Drosophila melanogaster: one gene and its partners. The protein of the gene in region 1 interacts with the protein of each later gene in a pairwise test. Each region holds a gene or a part of one and is shown in the gene's direction. Other genes may lie near its edges. The genes, in order: NimB2, Mlp84B and stops.

Region 1 (3,757 bases):
GGACTGAGGGAGTCCGCCGCCCTGGGATGCCAACCGATTTGTATTCCGGACTGCGGATACGGTCACTGCGTGCGGCCCAACGAATGCGAGTGCTTCCCCGGATTCCAAAAACGCAAGAACGGCATCACCTGCGAAGGCGATTGCTATATGTGAGTGTTAGAACTAGACGCCTCTCCTTTTACATTTAATAATTTAATAAATTTCTTTCAGGACCTGCGAGAATGGCTTCTGTGCAAACAAAACGACGTGCGTGTGTCAGAACGGATATCGATACGATAAGAATACGACGACCTGTCTGCCGGATTGCGGGGACAACTGCGATAATGGGGTGTGCATCTCGCCGGGCAACTGCCGCTGCTTCAAGGGCTACGTCCGGAATCGGGAGCGATGCGAGGCGGTCTGCGTGGGTGGATGTGGTTTTTACGGCAAATGCATCGCACCGAATGTGTGCGGATGCGCCATAGTCCCGGGTCCGGAACGCACCTACCAGCGTTGCGAGTACGGATTGTGCAACGCCATGGGAAGATGCCGCTGCCAGGTGGGCATGACGCGATTCATCGATCGCTGCATGTCGCCGGACACGGTCACCACATACGCCTCTATGAATCCCGTCAAGGTGAACGCATCGCTCATCCAGGAATTCAATCTTCTGCTGGGCAGGCACTTCAACTTGACCACACTCAGCGATATGTGGTGGTTGTGAGTTCGGAGCTCTCACTTTTCCAGCATCACTGAGCAGTCTCTAATAAATATTCATGCATTTCCCAAGACGTTGTGTTCTTATCAGGGGTGTCTGAAATATCTTGTGGCTTCATCTCTTGGGATTTCGCTTTTTTGAAGCAAGTCTAGCTTAAATTGTAAACGTACGTCGAAGATTTGGTACCCTCTCGAAAGTTGTTTCATTTGAATAGGTATTTATTATTTGGTATATCACTTATTTTCTGCATAGTCAACATACCCCACGAATACCGGGTACTGAACACATAATTATCTTCCTAGGAATATAGAACATTTCTATCTCCGTACACTTAAATGCCGCGCTTGACACAGACGACAATTTAGTAGCTCCGAGACACTGGCGAGCATTGCGCTCGCATTTTGATACGACCTCGCCTTCAGCTGAATCCGAGCGAAATGCACTTGACATCCACGCTGATTGGACTCCTTATCTGCGGTCTGGGGATCGAGCTGCCCACGCGCACTGCCGCACAATTCTGGTCGGTGGATCCTGTTACGCAGTGGCGAAAAGAGGCTCTGGCCGAGAGGGGATCCGGCATCTGTTACAGGACGCTCACGTAGGTAAACCATTCCGCACGCCTGACCGAATTTCAAGATCAATTCCCACTCCCAGCGTGGAAACCATCAATCCCAACTCCAGAAATCGTCAGTTCTCCTACTGCTGCGATGGTTATGTGAATAAGGGAACAAGCCAGAACCTGAAGTGCGAGCCCATTTGCTCGGAGGACTGCTCCAATGGATTGTGCCTGGCGCCCGAGGAGTGCGAGTGTGCTCCGGGTTACTATCGGAGTAACAAAAGGTGTCGTTTTGTCTTGGAATAACAAAAATAAATAATATCAATTACAATATTTTTTGAGTTGCTTACTTTATCATTATTTGATCAATACTTCTACTATTTGAAATATTATTAACCTGTTTTTTACGACCATTCATGATTACATAGAAACGTTAAATTTTTTTTTTGAAAAAACCTTCATAAGTTTTAAAGGTTCATCATTTTTATGTTCTGTGCCTTTAAATCTGATATTTCATCAAGAAATAATCTCTATACCTGAAGTCATCGTTGTACGCAAACTTTTCTTGGAATTACCCAAAAGCAATGAGTTTTGTTTACGACTCACAATTTATGGCAATGATCGATTTGCTTTGCCCGAAGCTACTGAGAGCAAACCTTCGCTCCGTTTGCCACATTGATGGGTACATTGGCGAGGTGCTGATTAGAAGGGGGACAAGAGGTTGCCGGAGGCGAATGGCGGCTCAGAGATCCGGAGCTTCGCATCGGGAGCCGATTAGTCGATGTGCAACTACAGTCGCCAGCGGACGTGGACGTGGGCGCATAATCAATTTCCATACGTACGAAATCCGTAATCAAGTGACATCACCATGAGGTCATCATCGTGCCAGCTGGTGACTCTGGGCGTTCTGCTGGCCATCTGTTCCCTGGGTCAGGGACAATTCAAGACGGCTGGCATCAAGACACGGCAGCCGCCATCGGGAAACCTGCAGCTTGCCGGCAATAGCAGTGAGTCGGGATGGAGGAGCTACAACCAGAGCAGCTACGGTTGGAGCACTCAAAACCAGAGCAACTACGCCTGGAACCAGCAGAACCATGTGGAACAGGGATCCGCTGGATTTGTGCGCGCCGAGGTCTTTCAACCGGTCACATTGCCGCCCCTTTATGGACACTACGTGCAGCCGGTGACTCCGCCCGCTCATCGTGTCCAGGTCCTGGATGAAACGGCCCTGTTCATCAACAAAACCAGATCTGCCATGGCCAGTGGTGTGTGCTACAAGGAAGTTCCGTAAGTGATGGGTTAATTTCGGACAAAAAATACTAACAATCGAGAGGAAAACACTTTTATAATTCCACTTAAAGCTATCGCCCAATTCGGAAGGCATTCGAAAACAAGGCAAGCCATAAAAATAGTGAACTAACGACCTCAACTTCCTCCGCTGGCCTGATAATTAAAATGCGCCTTGATTTCACGAGTATATGTGTGCCAAGCTAATAATGTGAATGAATTTAATATGCAACGAGCGGAAAGTCAGTAGATAAGCGAAAAGTTTTTAAATTTAGTTGAATTGACTAGTTTCATTTGCATTCTCTTGGACAATATGTAGTTTAAAACTTTAAAGGACAAAATTATTTTTCAATTTTGACACACATCTTTACTAAGGTATTATTTAGACATGTTGATTATCTGTTTTATTAGTTTCCCTAGGAAAAATATATGTCATTGCATTCATGATTTTAAGTTGTTTAAGTAAACCTAATGTTTTCCTTGTTTATATCCAGAACCGCGTCACTGCTCCGCAATTCGCGGGATCAGTTCGTTGGCAATGGCACCACTCCGGACATGAGTCGCATCCAAGTCTGCTGCGATGGCTATGAGCGAAATCCGCACATCTACCGCCGCTGTGAGCCGATCTGCGCGGATGACTGCCGGAATGGAATATGCACTGCTCCGAATACCTGTGTCTGCATACCCGGCCACGTTCGCACCGCCGAGGGCAAGTGCATCTCCACCTGTCCCCTGGGCTGCGGCAACGGAGTGTGCGACGAGCGGAATGAGTGCAAGTGCCGCGAGGGATACTCGCTTGAGCCGGAGACTCGTAAGTACTGCCAGCCGGAATGCAAGCCCGGCTGCTCCTTTGGACGCTGTGTGGCGCCCAACAAGTGCGCCTGCCTCGACGGATACCGCCTGGCCGCCGATGGATCCTGCGAACCAGTGTGCGACAGTTGCGAGAATGGCAAGTGCACGGCTCCAGGACACTGCAACTGCAACGCAGGCTACCTAAAGCTCCAAGGACGCTGCGAACCCATTTGCTCCATGTAAGTGTGGCCTTTAAAAAACAATGAAATCTGCTTGCGATGTATAGTTTAGATAATTTAATTATTTCCCTATTTCAGACCCTGCAAGAACGGACGCTGCATTGGACCGGACATCTGTGAGTGCGCTTCCGGTTTCGAGTGGGACCGGAAGTCGGCCGAGTGTCTGCCGAAGTGTGACCTTCCGTG
Region 2 (3,757 bases), on another chromosome or scaffold:
TTCTGCTAAGTCCACTAGCAGTATTTCCACCTCTGGCTCCGCTCTGGAGGATAACAATAGGTGGGGAACGAGAAACGCAAAGAAAAGGTCTTTTACAATTTACATTTTTCAAAATTTGGTAGTTACTTAGTTTACGCCTGATTTTAAAGAAACAAATGGGACTGTGTTGCACATCTATGATTTGCAAAATTGTTAATTTATCGAACACCCGGTGTAGACAACTCTTTTATTTTGTTATTCTAAATAAATTGTAATAATTAGAACATAATGTATATTAAACAGTGCCCAATGTTACTGAGAAACCAGACTTTTTAAATATGTTTTTGTAATTTCATTGAAAAAGGCAACTTTTGGAATCCGTTTCGTTTATTAGAGAATATACTAATACTAAAATAACCCCGTATAAGACCTTTTTCTACTGAAACAATGTATAGAAAAAATCACACTAATATATTTTTCGGTTGTTTCTGTAGCTTAATATCCCGCTATGATATCAAAGATGTTCAAGTTGCACTGACGCCTCTAACAGATTTTGAGAAGGAAATCGAGAAGAGCTCCAAGAGGGTAAGTTGATTTTTTCTTTGTTTATCTTTTAGCATACTATTAATAGAATGATAAACAACTCAGTTATCGTTCCGAAATATTGAGTTAATATAAGCTTTTTTACTTTTAAGGAAACTTGTTTCGGATCTCTTGAGTGATTTTTGCGAAACATTCTCTTAAAGTGTTTTCTCTCTTTTTGGATACAATGTTGCTATATTAATGATGGTTCCCATTATCTTTTACACTTGTATACAACTTGTCATTTAGTTTTTCTCTGATCAAACCTAAAGAGTGGGACAGAGAGTACTACTATATTCGTTTCACTCGCCAAAAGTTTTGAACGCAGGCGCCTTGCCAATTTTTGTATCATACTTATAAGTGGAAATGCAATTGCAAATGCATGTTAAAAATGTTTTGAGAAATTCTGCCGAAGGTGCGCGTTAATTATACAAAAGGTGTTGCCCACCCGTTCTTGTCTTTAAGAAATTCCGTGTTTTTCAATGCTACCCCTTGAACTTCGGAATTTTCGATCGATCCATTTTTTAAAATGGTGTGTGTTTCGATCGAAATACTGTAATAAATCAAATATTAAATTAGTTTGTTATAAATTTGAGAAACTTACTACTACTACTTTGATTTCAAAACTAAAATAATCGGTAAAATCATACCATTAGAACTAATATCAAAATGAAATCATTCTTAGTAATGATATTAAGAGGTATTTTCTGGCCGAGTTGGCCCCCGCCATGTCTGGTTCTATTTTGCCGATCTGATTGATGCTCAATGATGTACCCATGCCCCATTAATTTCCTTTTGAACCAAAAATGCATGGCAAAATATCGAATTTTAATTAAATGCAAATGCGCATGTTAATTTATTGATGTTGAAGTGCCAATGTTCCGAAAGGCAGGCAGGCAGTGGCTTTGAACAAGACAGTTGAACCATGTTGTTGGTCCAATAAAATACCAACATCATCTTTTTCGCCTTGTCATGAGCACGATCACCTGGAATATTCTGCTATAAAATGACCGTATATACAATTTATGAAAGCACATTTTTCTTGTATACTAGCATATTGTATATGTGAGAGCAGATATTTTGTGATTTGTTGGGATTCTTGTTCGGATGGCTAATGTATTTATTGTTGGGGCTATATAGTCATCCCTATCATTTTCTCTGGCGACAAAGTTGCCTTCGTGCCGTGTGCAGACAAAGACTGAAAGCGCTTGACAAATTTTTCAGCGCGATCAGTCGAAAATCGTTGTTAATCGAAGCTAAACTAAAATTAAGGATATTTCTCTTGCGAACCTTTTTATTACGAACGAAAAGTAAATATCAGTTTTTGTCAATGGAAAACGAAAACCAAAACCAAAACCAATCACGCATAACCCAGTAAATTCCAATATTTTGTGTTGTGCTTGTCTAAAAAATATCGGTTCAAGCTCTGCTACAAACCAAACGCGAAGCGATGAAAATACAGTTTTGTCAAGCGATCGTTTAAATTTAGAACTTGTGCGTAATTTGGACCATAATTTGACCCACAAATGAGAGGAGGAATGTATGGCTCCACACAGGAAGCATTTTTCCCACACACTATTATTAATAGATTCCGTTTTTTCGAGTGTGAAAAAACTTTACGGAAACTGTCTCACTCAATAAAATGAGAACTATTTGCGAGGAGTTTTTTTTTCAATCGAGTTTTATTCAAGTACAAATCGATCATCTTTTCATCAGATCAAATCGAATAGTCACTATCCTTGAATAGAGAAAAATTAAAGATACAGTCCTTACTCGACGTAAAAAACACGTACATTTTGATGAGTTTTATAATCTTATTGCATGCAAAAAGTATTATATTTAGTCGGGAATATAAACAAACTCCCAGATGCCTGAGGTTTCCAATGATATGCAACTTTTCGATCATCTTTGATAATCTCCCACTGGGATAAATGTGCATATAATATACACAAAAGTTAGCAAACATCCAAGAATGAGATACGGTCAAGAAAAAACGAGTGAAGGATATGGAATAAAAAACTTTTTCGAAGAATCGAAAAAGTTTAAAAACCGCAGATGCATACCAATATGTTTCCATCCCACTCTCTGGCGTTATTTGATGAAAACTGAAATAAAACGAAGGAAAACTGCTCCGTGTTGCCGCATCTTAAGTTTCTCAACTCGGTGTGCTGAGCAGGAAAACTCAGTGGCAGCGGCGAAAAGTCGACCGCGTTGCCGTGCCGTGTGCACTCACAATTATATAGACTAGTTTGCTTTGAGCAATCTTCCAGTTCAGTACTCGGCGCTTCCGTGTGTGGTTTTAGTGCGTTGTAGGTTCCGTTCTATCTTGGCTATAATACACTCACACCCAACGGTTGGATATCGCCAGCTCTTAACCGATTTTTTTGCACGCAGCAAAAGACCATTGCAAAGCACCTGACTAATCCATCGCAACCGCTAGATAACCAGATTACCGGCCAGGGACGATGCTCATCTGATGGTGGTGCTTTAGCTCTGACTCAGTTTTAGAACACCCAGATATGTACATATATATATCTGCCACAGTTATTTTTTGTGTGTGCTTTTCCCAAATCTATCTACCTGTCTGCGTTATTTTTATACAACATTTTCTGTATAGATAGATACACATTTATTGCTCATGTTTTTCTCTGTGTTCTGTGATTTGAAAAATTCCTCCTTTATTTTTTGTTGTCATGAGAAAGATGTTATTTTCTGATCATTAACATAGGAATCTTCAATATGAATTACGTATACATACGTCCGGTTGGGTAATTTTCTGGCACGGGCGATGACGTCTCGACTGACAGATAAGAATCTTGATAGATGATCTACATAATGCAAATTGAGGAGAAATTCGCGACTGTCAAGTTGAATTTGTAATAGTTCATTGTAAACTTAAGATAAAACAAGCGTCTTAATCGTCCAAATAGGTTAACATGTAGATTAGCTTGAATTAACTAGTTGGGCTTAGAATAATTTGGAAACCATTTAACATACAAAAATGACAGATGCTTACCTCATCGCTTTCATCGCCACCAAAGCTTCCACTCTGCTGCATTTCCCAGCAGGACTTACGCCACGATCCCATCGACTCTATGTGTTCTTCTATTTTGCTATTTCAGATAATAAACTTAATAAGTAAAGTAATTGTACTCGCGTAGATCATTTTGATAGCGTTAAAAAAACCGAAACACAG
Region 3 (3,757 bases), on another chromosome or scaffold:
TTTTTTTTTCTCAATCTGCACACCAATAAATTGCCATCGTAATTTCCACAGTGGGAGACCCCTTATTCAGCTATTAGATTGCATCGCCAGAAATTATGTAAATTCGGTTATTGTGCTCCATGTGCCCGCACAATCGAGTGCAGCATAAAACGGAAGCGAAATAAAAATTTCGCCAGGCTTGTGTGCATTTCCGCTTCCGCTTGGCTCGACCACAGTGCAACCACACATTGTTGCATTTATTCGGACTCATATATTTACGGCCAATACGCCGCTGATTGGATACGAATTTAATTCAATTAATTCGCTACCTTTGCGGCATCGGATAGCCTGCATATGGCCACAATTGCATTGCCCTTTTAATTAGCGCTCAGGTGAGCCTGTTCAGGTGAAAATATTGCCATGTTGTCCTGGGTAACCAGCACAAATATGCACCGTTTTAATGGACCTGAGTTAATTACACTGTGCCGAATGTCCTTCGACACTTATTTGCATATGCGATTAAGGCGAAGGACCCGAGGAATCCCTACCAGACATGATTATCCCAGTCATCATCTCTGGATCCCTTGGTGTGCGTTCTTAATTAATGTTTATGGCAGTGCTTAAATATTTACCCAGCGCTTAATTGTCAGCCCAAATATTAAACGTGCAAATACGGCGAATAATGGAATGAGTGGGCCTGAATAATGTATGGGAAAATTGATATGTCCCGCATAAACAAATATTAATTGGCAAAGGGTGATAGAAAAACATGTAAACAATGTGCACAATTGCTATTTAAAATATGAATTTATTTTGTAGCTGAGAAATTTACATGACAATTGGAGTCGTGTTTTAAAATACATTTGACGTGGCTAAAGCTCGAGAAAACACTCCTATTGTTTACAGATTTAAATCCGTGTATATGAATATTTGTTGCAATATTTATTTCAAAATGATCCCCTTGAAAATGTAATGGATTCATTGAAGGGGGATTAGTAAATCTCTAAAAAGATAGCTTAAAGCGGTTCGCTTTATGATAATATCGGTTTCACTCTGGAATGAAGTATCGAGTGACTTTGTATTAGTTTTCAGTTTTCCGTTGTAAAATCAAATTCATTAATGATTTAAACCGAAAAAAGCACTGAAACATTAAACAGCACACCATCAGTATTTATTTCGAAATAAATATATTTTTGTTGAATCAAGCATAATCCTTATAATGACAAACCAATTATTTTTCAGTTTAATATTGCAAAATCACAAAAACCTGCGTTTTTATGCGCCATTTGATTTTATGCTTATCGCCAAACATTACCCATTTAGCACAAAAATAATGTGAGAGCATACATATGTACTATATATTTTAAATTGAAAATTCCAATTTAGAATCTAATTTAGCTTTATGCTCATGAAACGCGTATTTAATACCTCCGCTACTCTCTGTACAAAGAGAGAGTGGAGAGAAAGCGGGAGAGTGAGCGCTTAGGTAAACAGCTGAGCGTTCTTAGAAATTGGACTTCGTTTGTTTAGTTTTCCAGCGGCAGCTGATGAGTGGGGTGGAAAATTGTGTGAGTGCGCTGCGTGCAGTGAATAAATGGTTCGGAAAAATGCCAGCAAATTTCAAAGTGCAATAGACTGTTTAGCAAAAACCAATCGAATTGAATCGAATCGAATCAGTTTCAATGGAGTCCTCGAGTTCCATTCGGTTTTTGAAGAGCTCATAGAAATATACTTGTCGGCTGGTAATCAAACACCTGTTTGCCAATTGCTTTGCTGGGAGCTTCACGGAAATAAAGAGGCCTAAAAAGTAATTGAACTGTATATCAGCTTTTGAATAAGCTTTACATACTATGTAATTATTTTCTTATATGATTGCAATGCTTAAAAATATTAAAATGAATATTCCGCATGCTCATTATGAGTTGTTTATGTTTATCAAAAGTTCTCCCAGCACATCATTGCCAGCTGCAAAAAATCGATAGCGCAAGAGAGTCACCCCCGCAAAAGAAATTCTCTCTTTTTTGTGTATTGCGACTCTTTGGCTTCAGCGGTGCGGGAGTTTTTTTGAAGCGGAATTTCAATTCTTTGGAGGGAATCATCAATTCAGCTCAATCGAAAATATTTGCCTACTTAAAGTGAATTAAATTTTGTTTGCAATATGCTTTCGCAGTTGCTACAGGCTTTCCAGCGGCTGGTAAGTCAATTAAAAAGCCAATTTGTGTGGGTTCGCTGCTGGTTGCCATTTCCACGGCATTTCTACGGTTTCCGCCGGGAAACTGAGTCACGGGCACGGCTGCGTCTGCGGGTGCGGGAACAACTGCGTCGGAATCCTGCCAATAGGGCCAGTCACCAGCGGAACCGGCGAACCCAGCGCCGCCATCTGGTCATGGACTACATCTTCGAGTGCTTCTTCGACGACACCTTCGAGCAGATCTCCCGCAACGGACTGCAGGACCGCCAGTCGCGGCGAGATGTCCTCGACCACCTGAGCTCCATCATCAAGGGCTGCAGCGGCGGCCAGAACTCGCAGACGGATGAGGTGGCCGCCATCGCGGTGACGGCGGCCATGAGGTACCACCGAATGGCCAAGGAGCAGAACGGCCAGGTGAGCTTTATGTACAAATCGAGTGTTGCCAATGTGGCATTTCTGTGTGCCAAACTTCAATAGTTAATATGAATAAATATTTACTTAAAAGAGTCCATACAAACTAGCACTGGGCTTTAGCAAAGCTCAACTTAATTAATAATGATTTGACAATTAGTTTCCGGTACTTAAAAAAACGAAATAAATAATTAGAACAAAAGCCAAGTCAGTCTATTTCGTTGTCGTATTAAATAAATGTTAATGTTTAAACCAAGCCTTATGAATGGAAACCAATGATTAATTAGCCAAATAACATTGCTTTGCTTTTGAGTCGAATAAAAGTGGAATTTAATAAAGCTTTCTAGAAAACGGTTAGAAAAGTACTAAAACTATGCATAAATATGTATATCCTGCTGCTGCGATCCAATTGACCTTTTAGAGTGTAAATAAATATGGAAAGTTGTTTCGGGCTTAATTTCCTTTGGCAGAGTCTGCTAAACTTAATTTTCTTCCATTTTAAATGCCATCTCTTCATATGGCAATTATTTATAATTTAAAAAGTAGCACTTCAGTTGGGATTCAGCCCCTTCACCACACCCTCCATTCCATGCGTATTCCCCAGGTCTGCCTCATGGGCAAGTATCACAACATCCTGTACATCGGACTGCGCACCTGCTGGGATTGGGGAGTCCGGGACTCGGAGGTGGTCGTCAAGCTGCTGGGTAAGTGGAGTCGGGCCAACTAAATAATTTAATTTAAATGCATATGTATGCGTATGTGTGCGTAAGCGTATGCGAGTGAGTGTGCGTGTGTGTGTGGCAAGACTTTCCTGTTTGCTTTTTGGGCGTGGCTGTGTGCTTTGCATACTTTAATAAATATCATCCCATCGCATCGGATTATTACGCCCATAAGCAGGCAGTTTTCACTTTAATCACGTGTTTCTGCTAATTGCGTTAAGAAAGTGTTGCTGATGTCGTTCTGTTGCTCTGTTGTTGCTGCATCGTAAAACTTGTAAAGTGCCTCAAAGTGTTGCAAGTTATTTGGGGCGTACGCATGTTGGCTGCCTCTAATTAAAAGGCTGCGTAAACTTTTGCGAGCAGGAAAAGTGCCTGGAATTAATGGCATGCCTCTGTCAGGGAATCTGGACTCGTGTGCAATAAAACTTGCTCCTTGTTTGTCCTGTCCTCACTCACC

The links.
Region 2: the proteins of NimB2 (region 1) and Mlp84B interact in a two-hybrid assay, tested with the Drosophila melanogaster proteins (one large-scale study listed by BioGRID).
Region 3: the proteins of NimB2 (region 1) and stops interact in a two-hybrid assay, tested with the Drosophila melanogaster proteins (one large-scale study listed by BioGRID).

The regions. Positions count from the first base shown.
Region 1 is NT_033779.5:13,965,289-13,969,045, reverse strand, and holds the start of NimB2 (nimrod B2), read left to right. Parts: upstream 1-2,027; 5' UTR 2,028-2,121; coding exon 2,122-2,540; intron 2,541-3,034; coding exon 3,035-3,571; intron 3,572-3,649; coding exon 3,650-3,757. Other genes in the region: NimB4 (nimrod B4), read left to right, coding at 1-149, 211-703; NimB3 (nimrod B3), read left to right, coding at 1,135-1,295, 1,352-1,559.
Region 2 is NT_033777.3:7,115,765-7,119,521, reverse strand, and holds the start of Mlp84B (muscle LIM protein at 84B), read left to right. Parts: upstream 1-1,789; 5' UTR 1,790-1,871; intron 1,872-2,805; exon of another isoform or gene 2,806-2,870; intron 2,871-3,683; 5' UTR 3,684-3,757. Other genes in the region: Alh (alhambra), read left to right, coding at 1-60, 474-564. UniProt on the Drosophila melanogaster protein: Plays a role in cell differentiation late in myogenesis. Transcription factor Mef2 is essential for expression.
Region 3 is NT_033777.3:31,166,854-31,170,610, reverse strand, and holds the start of stops (slow termination of phototransduction), read left to right. Parts: upstream 1-2,006; 5' UTR 2,007-2,137; coding exon 2,138-2,584; intron 2,585-3,185; coding exon 3,186-3,285; intron 3,286-3,757.